2 linked regions of the Sus scrofa genome follow. The protein of the gene in region 1 binds, or shares a complex with, the protein of each later gene. Links are inferred from orthologs where the notes say so. Each region holds a gene or a part of one and is shown on either strand. Other genes may lie near its edges. The genes, in order: GTF2F1 and POLR2C.

Region 1 (4,311 bases):
CCGATCAGTAATGATTTTGCCTGTTTACTTGCTCTTGTCTCCCCAGCCAGATCGCTGTATTCCATACTCCATGAGGACAAGGACTATTTGTCTTTCTCATCCCATCTCTATATTTCTTGTCTTTTCTTTTTTTTTAGGGTTGCACCGGGGGCATGTGGAGGTTCCCAGGCAAGGGGTCCAATCGGAGCTACTGCTGCTGGTCTACGCTACAGGTACAGCAACGTCAGATCTGAGCTGAGCCTGAGACCTACACCACAGCTCACAGCAACGCCAGATCCTTAACCCACTGAGCAAGGCCAGGGATCAAACCCACAACCTCATGGTTCCTAGTCGGATTTGTTTCTGGTGCACCACGATGGAACTCCCCGTCTCTATATTTCTAAGTAGTTGGTGTGGTTTCTGACGTATGGTATTGGGTAAGGAATAAATGAAAGTCCATAACTATCAGACCCACCCATGGAGTGCTGTAGTTTATGGTGCAGTTTTGGTGTCTTTGCTTAGCCAACTCCTAGTTTAAAACGTCCCTCTTGGAGTTCCCGTCGTGGCTCAGTGGTTAACGAATCCAACTAGGAACCATGAGGTTTCGGGTTCGATCCCTGGCCTTGCTCAGTGGGTTAAGGATCCGGTGTTTCCATGAGCTGTGGTGTAGGTCACAGATGCGGCTCGGATCCCGCGTTGCTGTGGCTGTGGCGTAGGCCGGCGGCTACAGCTCCGATTGGACCCCTAGCCTAGGAACCTCCATATGCCGCGGGTGCGGCCCTGGAAAAAGACAAAAAGAAAAAAAAAGTCCCTCCTCCCTGAGCCACCTGCTCTTTCCCCGTAGCAGCCCTGTTCTTCCTGGCTTGTAGGTATCATTTTCCGAGACTGTATAATCCACCACAACCTCCAAGAGGACAGGAGATGGTTTGTCATATTCACCATGAACTGCCCAGAACCCAGCCAGCAGGTGCTGAAAGTGGATGGAAGAATGGCTGGTCCCGAGCATGCGAGCATGCGCAGTTGTGTTACTACATGGTGGGGGAGGGGTGTGTGCACACCTGGAATTGGACAGGGAGGGTACTCGTACCTCTCGTACCTCTCTCCTGCCCTCCATAGCCTCCTTCCCTTCCATCCAGTTAGCCAGCCACCTCCGCGATGTTACCCTTCTGGGGCCTCAGGGCCCTGGCCATCTGTGCAGCTTGAACTTGCACAGACCCACTCCGCCAGCGGCCGGTGGGGTGATCCCCACCCAGGCCTTGACCCCTCCTGGCTCGGTTCCAACGTCACAAGGGCTCCTGGCCCGATCACTTGACGAGATTATGGTTTCCCTCCTGGGGCTTAGGGAAAAAATGAACACCAAAGAGACTCAGGTGGAGCCGCAGTGTTTCCGTGCGAAGGAGGTCTCAGGCACCATGGTAACGCGGCCTCCTCGGACTCACTTCCGGAGTGGAGTAGCGCATGCGCAAGGCTTCTGGGCGGCCAGGAAAAAGGCTTGTTTCTCCACCCCTTCCCAAGATGCCCCGCGGTCCTTAATTGGGACGTCACGAGCGGGGTGTTACTATACAGCGTGATTGAGTTATCCGCACTATATATTGCAGTCAGCTGGTGCAGGAGCAGTAGTAGGTGTTGCTTTTAAGTCAGATTCGGAGCCTGTGACGCGGCCCACGGGAGAGTTTCGCTTCCGGTTTAAGTGGCTGCGCAGGCGCAGACGTGGCACGAGAGGCCTCAGAGGCTGACCGCTGTTCCAGCGCCACCCCCGGATAGTTTTTCCTAGGATTGGCGGCTCGGGGTTCTCGATCAGGGACCAGAGAGCCGAAACCTCGAGGGCGGCTTCCGCGGGACCTAGAGACCCTCATCCCGGGGGAGTCGAAAAGGACGAGGATCCGACCAGATTTCTACCATTGCGCATCGCCCATGGCGGCCCTCGTAAGTGTAAGGCGAGGGGTTTCCGGGGTCCTGGCTGCAGCCTTTATACTCCCTCACTCACTGCACTGCTTTCTCTCCCCTCAGGGCCCCTGCAGCCAGAATGTCACTGAATATGTTGTCCGAGTTCCCAAGTAAGTCCCAGACCCCAGTTCCCCGTCTCCTCCCAAAAGGGACTAAGCCTTCAGGCACCTCCTGATTCTCCTTCCAGACCGGTAGCAATCTAAGGGCAGGGCTGAGGTTGAGCCGAGGTGTCTGGGGCATCACTGTTTTTTGAAGAGAGTGAATGAATGAACGAATGGGTGCATTATTAATACACAGTATGGGGAGTTCCGTGTGGCTTAGAGGTAAGAAACCCAGCTAATATCCATGAGGATGCGGGTTCAATCCCTGGCCTCACTCAGTGGTTTAAGGATCCAGTGTTGCTGTGGCTGTGGTGTAGGCTGGCAGCTGCAGCTCCGTTTAGACCCTAGGAACTTCTGTATGTGGCCGGTTTGGCCCTTTTAAAAAGCAAAAAACAAAACAAAAACAGTGCCGGTATGATGCAGCCCCCCTACCTAGCATTCCCTCTGCCACTGCCCACTGTGACTGCTGGGTGGATTCTTGTTGATCCTGGAAATCCTAGTTCCACTATATTCCCTATCTGCCACCTCACCCCCCTTGCCTAGGGCTGAGTTCCCAGTTAGCGCCAGATCTTGGGTTCCTAGAAATCTTTGTCCGTTTTTCTGAATGGAGTTGAGAATATGGATCCCACTTTGCCAACAGACTGGGAACCTCTGAGGTCTTTTATGGGTCCCCAGCATTGCCTGACACAAAGGGCTGAGCCAGGGAGGGTTTACTGAATGAATGACTGAGCACTGCCTCTTCATGTCCATTCCAGAAATACCACCAAAAAATATAATATCATGGCCTTCAATGCAGCTGATAAAGTCAATCTTGCTACTTGGAATCAGGTATGTTGAGGTTCGGAGGGGGTGAGAGAACCCAATCATGGACTTTGTGGTTGTTATAGTTGTTTAGTTGTGATAGTAACCAAGGCTTAGCTTCCTCAGCTCTTCACCATGGAGATAAGTGATGACTAAGGCCGAGGCCAAGTTGCTGAGCATGCCTGAGGGGTAAATGCAGGAGGTTTTCTCCTGAAAGGAGCTGTGCCTACCAGTGGGCATCTTGGGCCTGGATTTATCTGGGCAAGGGAGGGGGCTGCCTCCTACAGATGCTCTAAGAGCCCCCATTGTCAGAGGCTCTAGCAAGGGCTTTGGGAGCTGTCTTAGCTCATTCAGGAGGCTATAGCAGAATACCAGAGACTGTGGTTTCTCAACAGTAGAAATTTATTTCTCACAGTTCTGGAGGCTAGAAGTCTAAGATAAGGGACCAATAGGTTTGGTGTCTGGTGGGGCTCTGCTTCCTGGTTCACACCTGGCTCATTTCACTGTGTCCTTGCTTGGTAGAAGGGGGAAGGAGCTCTCTGGGATCCTTTTTTTTTTTTTTTTTTTTTCCGTGGCATGCAGAATTTGTCAGGCCAAAGATCAAACCCGAGCACCAGCAGTGACCTGTGCCACTGCAGTGACAACGCTAGATCCTTAACCTGCTGCACCACAAGGGAACTCCTCTGGGGTCCTTTTTTTTTTTTTTTTTTTTTTGGTCTTTTTAGGGCCGCAACCACGGCATATGGAGGTTCCCAGGCTAAGGGTCAAATCAGAACTGTAGCCACCAGCCTACACCAGAACCACAGCCACAGCAATGCCAGAACCGAGCCATGTCTGCAACCTACACCACAGCTCATGGCAACGCCGGATCCTTAACCCATTGAGTGAAGCCAGGGATCAAACCCGCAACATCATGGTTCCTAGTCAGATTTGTTTCCACTGCACCATGACAGGAACTCCTGGGATCCTTTTTAAGGGCGCTCATCCCATTCATAAGGCTCCAACCTCATAACCTAATCACTGGCAGGACCCGTCCTAAATATCATCACACTGGAAATTAGGTTTTAACATATGCATCTTGGGGGGACGCAGACATCCATCCATAACAGCAGCCATTAAAGGTTAAACAGAGAAATTGTAAAGTGAACTGGCCACTGAAGGGTCAAAGGCAGGTGAAAGGAGAACAGGGGAGAACAGGGGGAGGTGAGCCTTGATGGGGCTTGGAGCAAACAGCTTATGAGAAGTGGCTGGATTCTGACTTTTCTTTTTAAAAATTCTTTTTCTTACTTTCTTTTTTGCTGCCTCATGGCACATGGAGTTCCCTGGTCAGGGATCAAATCCCAGCCGCAGTGTGCAGCTGTGGCAACGCTGGATCCTTAACTCACTGTTCTGGTGAACCTGTGTACTGGTGCTGCAGAAACAGCATGGATCCCACAGCTCCATAGCAGAAACTCCTCTTTCCTTTTTTTTTTTTTTTTTTTTT
Region 2 (2,839 bases), on another chromosome or scaffold:
CCATTCCTCCGGCTTGGGGTACACCGTGTGCCTCAGGGCATTGTCGGGATCATATTCAAAAGCCACCCCTGCAGTGGGGTTCCACTTGGCGTGTTCCTTGCCAAAGCCCTTTTTGGCGTAGGCGCGAAGTCTCAGCTCCTGGCCCTTCCTCAGCTTGACGATGAGGATGTCTGCGGGGAGAGGGGAGAGGTGGGCGAGGGCCAGCAGAGGCCTGGTTCTCCGCAGTTTGACCCGCGCCGCCACTGCAGGACCAGGCAGCACGAGAGGCTGGGTCTGGTCTCTGCCTCTCTTGGGCCCCTTACCGTCCTGCTCCACGTAGTCACTGGGGTCATTATCTCGGTTCCGGGATGTCACCTGCAGGGAACCCAAACAGGCATTATTAGCTGCTGCTCAATGTCCCCATGCACCTCTGCTGGTTGGGGATTTGGCACTGCCATGAGCTGCGGTGCAGGTCACAGATGCAGCTCGGATCCCGCGTTGCTGTGGCTATGGTGTAGGCCAGCGGCTACAGCTCCGATTCGACCCCTGGACTGGAAACCTCAACATGCCTCGGGTGCAGCCCTAAAAAGAGAAAAGACAAAAAACAAAACAGTACCACAGCCTTCAAAGGGTCCTTGGGAGACAGGGGGCCCAGAGCACCAACAATGGCTCTGCCCACCCTGGCAAGACTCCAGAATCAGCACTTCCAGGCACCAGGCTGAGGTTAAGGCAGAGGGCACACAGGGAAAGCCAGTGTTTTATAAGGAGCCACCCGAGTCTGGTCCACTCGGAGCCAAGAGAAGAGCAAAGGCCCTGGGCAGGGAGGATGTCGCTGACCGGAATGACCCGGGGGCTGTTGGAGATGAGGTCTCGGGATGTGACGTGACGCGTCTGGTCTTCGTTGCACCGCACATCGAGGGTGAACTCCACCGAGCACTCGGGGCAGAACTCCTCACAAGTGCAGTCCTGAGGCAGGAAGAGAGGCAGGAGTGAGTCTAGAGAGATGGCGAATCCCGGCCTGGCTCCCTGCTTCTAACACCCCGTCCCTTAAGGTCCTTCCCTGGGAGAGGGCAGAGCACAGCCTCCAGGCTCCCGTGGGCTGTGTCCATCCCACACGCCATTCTCGGGCTGCTCAAGGGCAGGCTCGTCCCAGCTCAGAGACAGCTGTGTCTACCCCCCGCGCAACACCAGGCCACCACCAGGAGATGCACTAACATCTCACCCTACCCTCAGAGCACTCTTCTTCTAGAACCAAGGCACTGAGAGAGGAGGCAGCTTTCATCCTGCACAGCTCTGTGTCCCATAAGCTAAGTGACTGGCTTAGGAAAGCCATCACCATTTAAAAGGAAATAATCCAGGGAACAAGAAAAAATCTATCTTTTAAGTTCCAGACTACAGACCTTCTCTAAAAAAAAAGTCACAGGTAATGTATGAATTTATGGAAATTTTCATACATTCACAGAAGCAGAGAAGACTTAAGAGACTGTCACTATGTAACCATCACTCAGCTTCATTAACTTTCAAGTGTGCCATTCTTTACACTGATTCTTAAACATTCCCGTGTTAGAGACGAGCTGCTACCATTTAACCTCAGGCAAAAAGAGTTACTAGAATGTAATCAAGCAAACCTTCCCACTTCCTACCAGTGAAGAAAATCCAACCTACTTTTTGTTGTTTTCAAGACAATGAGGAAGAACTAGGGCCCACACCTGGTCAATTTGCAATCACACACTGCTGAGGCAGGAAGACAGCCTAGGCCCTCAAGACTGCATCATTCTTAGGAATATGAAATTAAAAGTATTCAATCTCAAAAAAAAAAAAAGTATAATAAAAAAAGGAGTCTGAGAGATCAAGAGAATAAAAAGGTATAATAACTAAATGCAATCTTGATTGGATCACAGACCCACAGACAAAAACCAGTTAGGACATTTTGAGGATAACTTGGAAAATCTGAATTTGGACTGTATATTGATAGTACAAATCAATGCTAGATTTCTCTTTTTTTTGGCTTTTTAGGGCCGCACCCGTGGCGGAAGTTTCCAGGCTAGGGGTTGAAGTGGAGCTACAGCTGCTGGTTTACACCACAGCCACAGCAGCTCAGAATCCATGTCAGTGACCTACACCACAGCTCACAGCAACACCAGATCCTTAACCCACTGAGCGAGGCCAGGGATGGAACTGTGTCCTCATGGATACTGGTCAGGCTGTCGCAAGGGAACTTCCAACGCTAAATTTCTTAGGCATGATGACAGTGTGCCTACACAGGAAAATACCTTATTTTTAGGACATGAATGTTGATGTAATTAGGGGAAAAGTGTCACGATATCTGCAACATTCTCTCAGAAGAAGAGAAAAAATAACATATGAAGAATAAAGCAAGTAGCAAAATATTGACAACTGGAAATTATAGGTGAAAAGAGAATAAGTAGTCTATCTTCAACCTTTCTATAGCTTTTCAGAAACAAACAAAAAAACCCCATACCATCTTTGTTCAGTAAATGTAATACTACAAAAAATGAAATTCAATGGAATTTGTAGGTCATAAGGGGATTCATATCTTTATATAAGATGTTGACAAATTGCTCTTCAATTGGTTGTACAAATGTCCCCACCAGTACATGTGATGCTCTACTTCTTAAAAACAAAAATCTGGAGATGTGAAGCAACAAAATGGTGTGAAAAATGTGACAAGTGCTTTGGAGGGAGCATGACTATGTTACATTTGCTTCACACTCTGCTGTGTGTTTGAATATTTAAAAATACATAGGAGATCCCCTCGTGGCTCAGTGGTTAATGAATCCGACTAGGAACCATGAGGTTGCAAGTTTGATCCCTGGCCTTGCTCAGGGGGTTAAGGATC

The links.
Region 2: GTF2F1 (region 1) and POLR2C share a complex: the UniProt entries of both Homo sapiens proteins name them as parts of the TBP-based Pol II pre-initiation complex. The link is inferred for Sus scrofa from reciprocal best matches to the Homo sapiens genes GTF2F1 and POLR2C.

Annotation. Positions count from the first base shown.
Region 1 is NC_010444.4:72,686,115-72,690,425, forward strand, and holds the start of GTF2F1 (general transcription factor IIF subunit 1), read left to right. Parts: upstream 1-1,498; 5' UTR 1,499-1,893; coding exon 1,894-1,905; intron 1,906-1,989; coding exon 1,990-2,036; intron 2,037-2,782; coding exon 2,783-2,855; intron 2,856-4,311. UniProt on the Homo sapiens protein: TFIIF is a general transcription initiation factor that binds to RNA polymerase II and helps to recruit it to the initiation complex in collaboration with TFIIB. It promotes transcription elongation.
Region 2 is NC_010448.4:19,396,342-19,399,180, reverse strand, and holds part of POLR2C (DNA-directed RNA polymerase II subunit RPB3), read right to left. Parts: intron 946-2,839; coding exon 817-945; intron 355-816; coding exon 303-354; intron 171-302; coding exon 2-170; intron 1-1. UniProt on the Homo sapiens protein: Core component of RNA polymerase II (Pol II), a DNA-dependent RNA polymerase which synthesizes mRNA precursors and many functional non-coding RNAs using the four ribonucleoside triphosphates as substrates.